Saccharomyces cerevisiae S288C: one gene and its partners. The gene in region 1 interacts genetically with each later gene. Each region holds a gene or a part of one and is shown in the gene's direction. Other genes may lie near its edges. The genes, in order: YMR084W, PAU5, RTT102 and AIF1.

Evidence for each region.
Region 2: mutations in YMR084W (region 1) and PAU5 together harm fitness more than expected from each alone (negative genetic interaction), as found in Saccharomyces cerevisiae (one large-scale study listed by BioGRID).
Region 3: mutations in YMR084W (region 1) and RTT102 together harm fitness more than expected from each alone (negative genetic interaction), as found in Saccharomyces cerevisiae (one large-scale study listed by BioGRID).
Region 4: mutations in YMR084W (region 1) and AIF1 together harm fitness more than expected from each alone (negative genetic interaction), as found in Saccharomyces cerevisiae (one large-scale study listed by BioGRID).

What each region holds. Positions count from the first base shown.
Region 1 is NC_001145.3:434,647-437,926, forward strand, and holds YMR084W (putative glutamine--fructose-6-phosphate transaminase), read left to right. Parts: upstream 1-1,981; coding exon 1,982-2,770; downstream 2,771-3,280. Other genes in the region: alcohol dehydrogenase ADH3, read left to right, coding at 142-1,269; YMR085W (uncharacterized protein), read left to right, coding at 2,845-3,280. UniProt on the Saccharomyces cerevisiae protein: Involved in amino sugar synthesis (formation of chitin, supplies the amino sugars of asparagine-linked oligosaccharides of glycoproteins).
Region 2 is NC_001138.5:98,723-101,497, reverse strand, and holds PAU5 (seripauperin PAU5), read left to right. Parts: upstream 1-1,898; coding exon 1,899-2,267; downstream 2,268-2,775. Other genes in the region: YFL019C (uncharacterized protein), read left to right, coding at 893-1,246.
Region 3 is NC_001139.9:1,041,497-1,044,249, forward strand, and holds RTT102 (Rtt102p), read left to right. Parts: upstream 1-1,779; coding exon 1,780-2,253; downstream 2,254-2,753. Other genes in the region: TAF1 (histone acetyltransferase), read right to left, coding at 1-1,599; RNH70 (Rnh70p), read right to left, coding at 2,323-2,753. UniProt on the Saccharomyces cerevisiae protein: Probable component of the chromatin structure-remodeling complex (RSC) which is involved in transcription regulation and nucleosome positioning. RSC is responsible for the transfer of a histone octamer from a nucleosome core particle to naked DNA.
Region 4 is NC_001146.8:777,096-780,573, reverse strand, and holds AIF1 (Aif1p), read left to right. Parts: upstream 1-1,835; coding exon 1,836-2,972; downstream 2,973-3,478. Other genes in the region: COS10 (Cos10p), read right to left, coding at 1-658. UniProt on the Saccharomyces cerevisiae protein: Putative FAD-dependent oxidoreductase involved in the resistance to cercosporin and other singlet oxygen-generating photosensitizers. Translocates from mitochondria to the nucleus under apoptotic conditions, where it degrades DNA and induces apoptosis.

The sequences.
Region 1 (3,280 bases):
TCTTATAAAATTAAACAAACCCTTTTAGAAAGGAACACTCGCTTTATCTCTTCGACCGAATTTACTATACATGGATATATATATATTATCTTCTGTTCACAGTTAAAACTAGGAATAGTATAGTCATAAGTTAACACCATCATGTTGAGAACGTCAACATTGTTCACCAGGCGTGTCCAACCAAGCCTATTTTCTAGAAACATTCTTAGATTGCAATCCACAGCTGCAATCCCTAAGACTCAAAAAGGTGTCATCTTTTATGAGAATAAGGGGAAGCTGCATTACAAAGATATCCCTGTCCCCGAGCCTAAGCCAAATGAAATTTTAATCAACGTTAAATATTCTGGTGTATGTCACACCGATTTACATGCTTGGCACGGCGATTGGCCATTACCTGTTAAACTACCATTAGTAGGTGGTCATGAAGGTGCTGGTGTAGTTGTCAAACTAGGTTCCAATGTCAAGGGCTGGAAAGTCGGTGATTTAGCAGGTATCAAATGGCTGAACGGTTCTTGTATGACATGCGAATTCTGTGAATCAGGTCATGAATCAAATTGTCCAGATGCTGATTTATCTGGTTACACTCATGATGGTTCTTTCCAACAATTTGCGACCGCTGATGCTATTCAAGCCGCCAAAATTCAACAGGGTACCGACTTGGCCGAAGTAGCCCCAATATTATGTGCTGGTGTTACTGTATATAAAGCACTAAAAGAGGCAGACTTGAAAGCTGGTGACTGGGTTGCCATCTCTGGTGCTGCAGGTGGCTTGGGTTCCTTGGCCGTTCAATATGCAACTGCGATGGGTTACAGAGTTCTAGGTATTGATGCAGGTGAGGAAAAGGAAAAACTTTTCAAGAAATTGGGGGGTGAAGTATTCATCGACTTTACTAAAACAAAGAATATGGTTTCTGACATTCAAGAAGCTACCAAAGGTGGCCCTCATGGTGTCATTAACGTTTCCGTTTCTGAAGCCGCTATTTCTCTATCTACGGAATATGTTAGACCATGTGGTACCGTCGTTTTGGTTGGTTTGCCCGCTAACGCCTACGTTAAATCAGAGGTATTCTCTCATGTGGTGAAGTCCATCAATATCAAGGGTTCTTATGTTGGTAACAGAGCTGATACGAGAGAAGCCTTAGACTTCTTTAGCAGAGGTTTGATCAAATCACCAATCAAAATTGTTGGATTATCTGAATTACCAAAGGTTTATGACTTGATGGAAAAGGGCAAGATTTTGGGTAGATACGTCGTCGATACTAGTAAATAATAGCGTGTTACGCACCCAAACTTTTTATGAAAGTCTTTGTTTATAATGATGAGGTTTATAAATATATAGTGGAGCAAAGATTAATCACTAAATCAAGAAGCAGTACCAGTATTTTTTCTATATCAAGTAGTGATAATGGAAATAGCCCAAATTTGGCTTCCGTCGACACATAGAACGTTTGAGAGACATTATCACCATCAAGCATCGAGCCGCCCAAACCTAACCGTATAAGTTTTTTCACGTTTTTGATTTTTCCTTGCACACTTCGATATTACTCTCACGATAAAAGGGCCGAAGAGAATATTTTTCTTGAACATCCAGAATTTTAATTCGGAGAAATTTCACAAGCCGCCGATTTAAGGGTCCTGTGTTCTTAATAATCAGCCTCTCTCAAAGCAGGTAAGAGGCAGTCTTTCTTTTAACAATAGGAGACATTCGAACTAAAACATCAGCCCCAAAAATGCGCTTGAAGGTCATTAGGATTTGGATTTCTTCCTCATTTTTAAAGGCGCCCCTTTTCGTTTTAGTCATGCTGGGCTAGACTAGCACGTAGTGTATGGAATCAAACTGATGCCGTCCCCTGAATTATATTTACAATTCAGAAACGTCTTTGAACATTTATAATTAAATTATAAAACAAAAGGAATTTGTAAAAAAGACTTTCAAAAGATGATCCAATAAACTAGATTAAAAACCCAATATAAGAAGAAGAATGTGTGGCATTTTTGGCTATTGCAATTTTTTAATTGAGAAGACAAGAGGAGAAATCATCGACACTTTAATCGAAGGGTTACAGGCATTGGAGTACAAGGAATATGACTCCAGTGGAATTTCGATCCAAGGTGATGAGCTGGAGTCTCTCAATATTTATAAGCAAACCGGTAAAATAAGCAGTTTGAAGGAAGAAATCGACCTTTACAATCTTAATAAGAACCTGCCCTTTATTTCGCATTGTGGCATTGCCCATACTAGGCGGGCAACACATGGAGGGCTAAGACGTGCAAATTGTCATCCACATAACTCAGATCCATCTAATGAATTTGTTGTGGTACACAACGGGGTTATTACCAACTTCGCTAATTTGAAAGCCTTATTGATGGCAAAGGGCTATGTGTTCAAAAGTGACACTGATACCGAATGTATTCCTAAACTGTACAAACACATTTATGATACAAGCATTGAACTCGGGTACAACCTCGATTTCCATGTATTAACAAATTTAGTACTTAAAGAATTGGAAGGCTCTTATGGTCTGCTATGCACTTCTTCTCATTTTCCCGATGAAGTGGTTGCCGCAAGAAAGGGTTCCCCGTTAGTTATTGGTGTTAAAGGTAAAACTGACATGGACGTAAACTTTGTCGAGGTGGAATATTTGGATCAAGAAGAAGACTACTTGAAGCTTAATACTCAAACCAAGAGTTCTGGTAATGTCTTGGCTGCCGCACCTGTAAAATATAACACTTGTTTAAGGAAGTCACCCCCCTTCGTTCACAATACCTGAGAAACTCTACAACTTCTACATTCAATCATGGCTCATCCACAGAAACGCCAGCCGAGAACGGCTTGCCGCGACCCATGGAATTCTATTTGTCATCCGATTGTGCATCACTAGCGCGGTATGTGAGTAAAGTAGTATATTTGGAGGATAATGATATTGCCCATATCTATGATGGGGAGCTTCATATCCATTGTTCTAAAATTGGTTCCGAGGACTTTTCATTTAGAACAGTTCAAAAATTAGAATTGGAGTTGTCCAAAATCAAAAAAGGCCCTTACGATAATTTTATGCAAAAGGAAATATACGAGCAGTGTGAAACAACAAAAAATGTCATGAGAGGAAGAGTTGACGCCTTTACAAACAGAGTAGTTTTGGGAGGACTAGAAAATTGGTTGACAGAATTGAGAAGAGCAAAACGAATAATAATGATTGCATCCAAGGCCTCCTTCCATTCATGCCTAGCTGCCCGTCCCATCTTTGAGGAGTTAATGGAAGTTCCAGTAAACGTTGAAT
Region 2 (2,775 bases), on another chromosome or scaffold:
CCAGATATGCAAAAAAAAGGGGGCGAGCTGGGAATTGAACCCAGGGCCTCTCGCATGCTTTGTCTTCCTGTTTATTCAGGAAGTCGCCCAAAGCGAGAATCATACCACTAGACCACACGCCCGAATTATTGTTGCGTTAATAAGAAAAACAGAAATATTTATATAGGAGAGTGATTAAAGGGAATCTTCTATCAACAATATCCATTCAAATTCAGGCGCATAACGTGAGTGAATATAGAATTGAGCCTCCTATTAGTCTTCCCGATTTCATTCGAGAAACATATCAGGATTAACCTGTACATTATGGTGTCTGTATTACTATTTTACATGTTCACGTTTATTTCTTGCTCATATATTCATATGGATGACCACTACGTTTGCTACCATTAAGTCTAATTATTTCAGCAACCAATATTCCATGTAAGTGTATAGCTAGTGGATATTAGACAACGGCTGCCACATGGTTAAGTCTTTTGCTCACCAGGACTACCGGTAAGAATCTGTTCCTTGTAACTCATTGCAAGGAGATTTTAGTTGCTCCCAATTATATTTTTTGAAGCACTAGCAGGGCAATGATTTTTCTTCTCGTAAGTACATGAATTATGAAATACTTTTTGGGATTTCGTTGTTGTCAAAGGCTATAAAATTTAGTATACAAAGTATACCAGAAAGTTTCCTCGAGGATATAGAAATTCACAAAAGGAAATCGATATTTCTATGTAATAATATAATTAAATTTCCTTCCATCTCATATCCTGTCATTAATTATTCCATTACAACATCATTCCCCTGAATTTCAGCTTCCACTACACCTGAGACTATCTCTCAAACGTTACGCCATATTCTCACACCCATATTATAATATAGTAGTAATATGAATACTAATCGGTAGATGATAGTTGAACTTTATTCAAATATCATCGAAGTAAGAAGATATACTACTAAAGACTCCCTTTGCTCTATATTCGAGTCAGGCTCCACCAGTCATTTCGAAATTAACCAGTTACAGGTCAAAAGACTAAACTTACTGCAAAACCAATTTGCTTCTGTTTTCACTTCTTTCCACCCCAAAGATAATACAAAGGGCATACATATCAATTTTTTTTCACCTGTCACTAGGATAACTGACCTTCAATATTCCTTTTTTTATACGAATCAGATACTGTTCGGTACACGATATCTAATTAAAATGATTCAAAACTTTGTAACAGGTAAAGTTTTCACTAGAACCAATCAATCCAAGTGAATTAGGGGAAACCATAGTTGTTGATTTGTAGAAACCTCACATTGTACATTGTTGGTTTGTTGGGCATATCAGAACGAGAGATTTTCCAACATTCAATATACACTAAACCCTATGACGAGTCCCACAGATGGCGTAAGGTTTTTATGATTTCAGCAGGGTACGACGACTAGTACCATATTAACATTTTTTAGTGTTTCTAATTTGGGAAAAGGTCCGTGTTTTTTCTCCTAGCAACCGTTTAGTGCCAAGGGTTAGGCAATTGAACGAGGCCAAGACAATATTGGCTTTGCTTCTATTACTTGGCTAACATTGTGTCTGCAGGTCGAAAGGCACCTTTACTGTAAGGAACATTCTTGCGCTCTAAACATACGAAGATATGGGGAATATGAAGCGTGTTTCTTATACGAAGTGCAGCATCGTTCAAGGAAAATACACCCCCATAGTAATAATGGCTAAGTGGCCAGGAATTAGAATATGTGAGATATGAGTGCAAAATGAGTGACCAGTAATAGCCTGTTTGGGATGTAATTGCTCAAAAAATTTATATAAATACAGCGGTTTGATCAGCTTTGTTTGAGACATTTCTCTGTTCTTTTCCTTCCAGTTAAGCTTATATCTCCACTAAGCAACAACCCAAAAAACAACAAATACAATGGTCAAATTAACTTCAATCGCCGCTGGTGTCGCCGCCATTGCCGCTGGTGCCTCCGCTGCAGCAACCACTACACTATCTCAATCTGACGAAAGAGTTAATTTGGTTGAATTAGGTGTCTATGTTTCCGATATCAGAGCTCATTTGGCTGAATACTACTCCTTCCAAGCTGCCCACCCAACTGAAACTTATCCAGTTGAAATTGCAGAAGCTGTTTTCAACTACGGTGATTTCACCACCATGTTGACTGGTATTCCCGCCGACCAAGTTACCAGAGTTATCACTGGTGTTCCATGGTACTCTAGCAGATTAAAGCCAGCTATCTCTAGCGCTCTATCCGCAGACGGTATCTACACTATTGCAAATTAGAGATAGATTCCCTTAGGGATAAAATGTGATACGAATTAGAGAATAACGAAAAATATACAATTTTTTTTTTTTTTTTTGATATAGAAATAGTTAAAATACATTCAAATGTATACCGATATTATAAGCTTTCTCGATTAGTTTCGGTGCTTTTTTGAAGCCGTAAGTAATATGCAAATTTGTTATGACTTCTTTTCTATTCTTGCAGCAAATGTTGGGATTTAACTTCCAACTGGTGCCGTGCCATTTTTATTATTAACTTTAATAATGTTCTATTGTATTGGGACGGAAAAAGCTTATTTCTTAAATTGGAGCAAGAATCTCGGAGTTCGGTGCCTATCCGAAGGTTCGCCCTGACGAAATACACTAGGCAGGAAAGTTTTCTCACAACAAGAATTAGAAACGATATTAAGCCTGGTTCAGTTTACACATCAGACATACTCGATGAGTTAATACAAAAAAAAAAATTGCAGGTGCTTTATAAAGTAAAATAACATCGTGGAATGCAAGT
Region 3 (2,753 bases), on another chromosome or scaffold:
AGATGTAGAAAATGATTCTTTGACATCTTTACCTTTATCTCTTTTCCTTTTACGCGCTTTTAACTTACTGAAGACAATTTTAGTACCTGGTCTGATGTGCGAACCAAAGTTTTCACGGTGGAAATGCCTCAACTGGTATCTAGGAACAGCCACTTTGTAAAATGGAGATTGTAAATTAATCGCAGGTTGAGAATGCTGAATATTTAAGTTCGAGATGGTAGAACGAACTTTTGTTTGATGGGTTTTTTTCAAGATTTGATATTTATCATCATTAGATAAATTGAATTTTTGTTGCAAAATAGTTTCGTTGAGGGGCAATATCAAGTTACTACTATCCAGTTGTTGCTTTTGCTGCGCTAAATTATTTGTTTTCTCAATCATCAGCAACAGTTTTTCGTCATTCATATTTAATTCAGCATGTTTAGACTCTTTCAATTTTGCATCAATGATCATGTCTTCATCCCACTGCCAATCTTCAGCAACATCCTCAATCAAGCTCTTCAATTTATAACCGCCGGAGAACTTTAAGTTGGGTGTCATAGACGAATCCGCCAAGGTTGCTGTTGATGAAGTACCTTGGTTGATGATTTTTTCTTGGTCCCAATCATCAGTGGCAATAAGCAAGTCTTCCGATATGGTCTTTTCATCATGAATAATCTTTCTTTTTTTTTGTTGCTCTTTGATAGGGAAAAGTTCATCAATGGAAACATGAATTAAACCTCTTCGGGATGCAGAAGAGTTACTTTGAAGTAAATTGTTTTTCCCTTGATAAATCGGAGCGACGTAAGATATTGTCCTTGAGTTGAATAGCCTCTTATCATCCTGTTGAACCTTGAATTTCAAATTTAAAGGCATAAACGGTTTCTTTACCCTAGATATTTCACTGTGCCAATGATAAGGAACAGATCTTCTATAAATCAGCTTGTTCCATTTTAAAATTTTACCCTTTTCAAAATCAGGAAAGTATTTTTTTAGAAGATACTTCTCATGGTTTATCAAGTCTAATTTGGTGGCTTTCTTATGCTTGCCATCTGACATATCTGGTTCCATGATAAATCCACCATTTATCGACATATCATTTCCATTAACGCCACCAATGGAAAGTTGAGAATGCCCAATTTCATTTGCGCCACTACCATCAAGAACTCCAGTTTCAGTGGCGAGATGAATTTCATTTGCATCCATTCCCATAAACAAAGCATTGCTAGTTGCGGGAGTACCCCCATCATCCTCCAAAATAAACTGTTGAGACAAATCACCATTAATTTCAGGCAGTTGCATATTCAAACTATTTGAGTCGATACCGAGTACGGCACCGTTCTCGTTTACATCATCATACGCGCCCATAGTCATCATAGCTGGATGCAAATTAGCATCAGATTCTTCTGGCAAATCGTCATCGTCATCAGCAAGTTCATCTTCATCTTCAAAATCTACAGCATCCGGCAAATGCTCCGTATAGTCCTTTGAATTGGCACCTTCATCCCCGCCAATGTATGACCCGATTTCTAAAGAGCCAAACTCTCCGCCAAAAATAGCTTCATATGCTTCATCTTCGTTGGCCAAGTTGGTCTTGCCGGATCCCTGCTGCTTTACCATATCGCCTTATACTCCTGTTGTACTTCTTTTTCTCTCTGTGTTTAAAATGCTATTTATTCTCTTAAAAGCACATTTGAAAACCATCGCCGCGAAATGAAATTATCGACTAGTTTATTAATGAACAAGGCGATAAAACCTAATGTTGGAAAGAAAGAGCTACGTCAGCAAGAGATAGAGAAAATGGACCCACAGACGCTCATTACTAAGGCCAATAAGGTTTCTTACTATGGCAACCCTACGAGTAAGGAATCATGGAGGTATGATTGGTACCAACCATCTAAGGTGAGCTCCAATGTGCAGCAACCACAACAACAGCTAGGGGACATGGAGAATAACTTGGAGAAATATCCATTCAGGTATAAAACATGGTTGAGGAACCAGGAAGATGAGAAAAATCTACAGAGGGAGAGCTGTGAGGATATATTAGATTTGAAAGAATTTGATAGAAGAATACTGAAAAAGTCGTTGATGACATCGCACACTAAGGGTGATACAAGTAAGGCCACCGGTGCTCCTTCTGCTAATCAAGGAGATGAAGCTCTTAGTGTGGATGATATAAGAGGCGCTGTCGGTAATAGTGAAGCCATTCCTGGGTTATCTGCGGGAGTGAACAATGATAATACAAAGGAGAGTAAAGATGTGAAAATGAATTAAAAGGAAAAGTATTATGCATATATATATATATATATATATATATATATTTATATATTTATACACATAGAATTATTTTACAGTAAAGGATGCTACACCACCCCGGGCTAACTTTATGGCTTCTACTATTTCAGGTTCCCTTTCGCGTCTTTTATCTAATCTTTCCTTTTTGTCTTGAATAAACTCTAACTCAGTTGAAAGATTGTTCCATGGTCTTGTGTCGCCTGTACCCGACATGATCAAAATCATAGTACCTGGTGTAGCATTCTCGTATAATTGTGTTAGATGTTGCCCTATATCATGAAGAACCATGGACGCATCGAACGAAGGAGTTTCCTTCCGTGGCTTTTTATTATAGTTGCGTGACCTCTCTAAGTTCTTGATTCTCCCCACAATAAGTTTGACATCTTTATTTAGATTCTCGTGAATATGGGTCCATGTCTCATCATCTTCGACGCAACGGATTAACTGGCCCTTAGAATCGTCCTCAGTATGATTTTTAA
Region 4 (3,478 bases), on another chromosome or scaffold:
GCTTGCAGCGATAGGTTTCCTTAGGAAGCTTGACATTTTCCAACATAGTAAGTTTGCATTCCTTCTTACCATGGATCAACCTCCACTGTGCGTTTACTTTTGTAAAATAAACCTGCACCGCGTCTTCGGTGTAAGGGACCAAAATCTCAATTGAACTGAACCTAGGATCTTCGTTTTGTCTCCTCAAAACAGCTGGCTCTAGAATGGTTTTCCTGAATGCTTCTTGGCAGTCAGTACCATTAAAAAAAAAATGTGCAGTTTTCCATGCTTTGTTTTCATACAAGTAGGAATTGAAATGTATTGCAACAGCGTCCCAATCAGCAGAGTATGCACCTGGTGCACTTTTGATGATTTCTTTAGAAAGCTGGGTGAGTTGATTTGATAAAGTATATTTACTGTACTGTATTTGAACTACTGGCAAAATAGCAATTAGCGCCAGGATTAGAACTACTGAAGTCAGAAGGGGATAAAACCAAGTACTGGCCATCCCCCACCAAACGGCAAGCGGTAACCATGATAGCGACCAGATCCAAAATCCTGAGTTGCGAATCTCACTGCACAACCATGTTAAACGGTTTCTGAAAATATCCTCGGGCAAACAAAAGCTACTATGGGTCTCAAGACCTTTAGAGGACAAAAGTCTAATCTCTTCCCCCATATTCAATATAGTGTATTTCACATTAATGTTATGAGGTACGTAACAAGTTTACTGAGGTTTAATCACTCGCAGTGTTTTTTATATAATTCGCAAGATGAAATTTGTTGACAGCGCGTTCATCACGCAGCTGTTGAGTTTTATAGTTAAAGCCACGATCAAAAAAAGAGCAACAGCTTCGAGCAGTTTCGAGTGAAAGAGAATCTATGTTGGTTTATGTTCCGGAAGCACGGGAGAAATGGACTTCACTCAAGTACCCAAGTTATCACTAAAATGTAAGTCAATGTATGTTTACAGATACGAGCTGCGATGTTTTATAATACATGGTACACAATAGGTGAAGTATTGTGGCTTATTTTTGAATTATCAAACAATGTAATAGCTTTCCAAAGCATACCATATAACTCCTATGAATTAAGCGGCGGTCTCATTATAAAGTCGGGACACTTTTTGGTCAAAGCTCTCGATTAGTTTTTGAATACTGTGCAAAGTCTTTAATGATATTGTCATCAGTTCATAATCGAATTCTCTGGTACATTTTTTCTTATTTTATTGATCAATGTTAATGTCAGTTTGCTGGCTCTTGTTTTTTTTTTTTTTTTTTTTTTTTGACTGTTAGTTAAGTTGCCCAGCTAAGCTTACTCAATGAGTTAAGTATTTATTTTCATATTTTCATCATAAAATACTGCGCTATCTCGTGCCCTCGTCTCTTATACAATAGGCAGTACTTGACTAGAATCTAGGAGTGCTTTTCCTGAAACTCTCTATAATAACAACCCATCTCCCGCCGATTGTATAGTGAGCCAAGTGTTCTCATAATGGGGGTCTTGAAGAAGACTTCAATGGTGTCTCATAGTAGCAGTACTAGTAGTGCTAGGAAGATGAGCATTGTACAGCTTACTTTTCGTTATTAGTGATACATGACTGAGTGATTGTAGTTGGTAATACTGGATTAGTAATCGTTAAAAAGCGATAAAAATTAATTGAATGTCCACCCTGCATGATTAGTCCTTTTTATCTGGCTGGACAAATGAAGCCTATTATAAGTATTAATATATTAGCTGCTGCAGACTAGAAACGAAAGCAGTGATAAATCATTGATAGACACACATTTCCTCATCGTTGTTCTTCATTATTTACAGGAAAGAGCAGAGAAAGGAAGAAAGAAATTGCAAAATATATGACAATTAACACAAAGAACATAGTTGTTGTTGGTGCTGGTGTGTTTGGTGTGTCTGTGGCAAATCACTTGTACAGGGAACTGGGTGGGACATACGCAATAAAGCTCGTCACAGCATCTAATTATGTGTATTTTCTACCCTCAGCTGTCCGTTTGACGGTTTCAAAGGATTATACCAAGTCGATCCTGCCGTTAAAAAATGTTCTTGATAGTGGTATTGAAGTTATCAAAGATACGGCTGCCAGCTTTGATGATAAGGAGGTAGTTTTGGGGTCAGACAGGGCCATAAAGTTTGATATCTTGGTTCTTGCAACTGGCTCAAAGTGGGCTGATCCAATTGGTTCAACTTATACCTTCGGGGATAACTATAAAGAGTATTTTGAAAGAGAGGCTTCTCGAATCTCAGATGCAGATCACATACTTTTTCTTGGCGGTGGCTTTGTTAATTGTGAACTAGCTGGTGAATTGTTATTCAAGTATTTGGAGGAGATCAGGTCTGGCAAAAAGCGTATTTCCATTATTCATAATTCCGATAAGCTACTGCCGGACTCTGGGTTATACAACGATACCCTAAGAAAAAATGTGACAGACTATCTCTCAAAAAATGGTATTACGTTGTACTTGAACACAGTAGGGGCTTCTTTAGACACCTCGCCGAAACGTATTTTTCTAGGTGAGGGCTCATCTAAATATATAGATGCTGATTTGATTTACAGAGGCGTTGGTATTTCTCCAAATGTGCCGGTCAACAGTATTTCAGACCTTTGTGACAAGAAAGGGTTCATTCAAGTTGAAAAAAACTTCAGGGTAAAAGCTGTTGAGGCAGGAAACGTTTTTGCCATTGGTGATGTAACGAATTTTAGATATCACGGATTGGTTAAAAGAGATAATTGGGTTGATGTTTTGACCCGAAATGTTATAAGTTCTTTACAAGAAGGAACAGAGGCTAGTCTCGTTGATGCAGATTGTCTTGAGACAGGACATGCCCCAAGTGGTGTCTCCCTTGGGCCAAATGCAGGGTTTGGCCAATTTCCACTACCGTTACTTGGGACGATTAATATTCCATCGTTTTTAATTTCTAGAGCAAAGTCGAAGAATCTTTTCTCCGACAAAATGGAACCTTTATTCAAAAAATAGACTAAAATATGAACTGCAGCGTATATATATATATATATATATATATATTAGTTTCTGTATTGTGAAACAAAGAAGGCCGCTGGAAACAACAAATGTTGAACTTCGCATTCAGATAATAATCTATTAAAACCCGAAGTTACTCGAAAATGTTAGCTTTGGATTCTCACACTATATGTAGTTTCTTTGACAGTAGTAAAACGGTATTACACCTGTGCATTAGAGTTATCAATCGCTTGATAACAATTTGACATTTTGGAGGGTCCATGAAGATAGGTACTGATTTTACTCGAAGTGTGAATGTTTTATACCGAAGTTTTGTTATATAGAGATACAGATATCAACAGGATTGACCACCTTCTTTTTTAAACCTAGTATAATGGGGACGGTGAGAATTAACAGTTAAGGTATAGGCGTGATGCCATGGGAGGGGCAAATACGGAACTGGAGTAAAGTATTGTGTGGTTTAGGTGCTGGGAAAAAGAAAGCATTAGAATGCTCAATAAAAC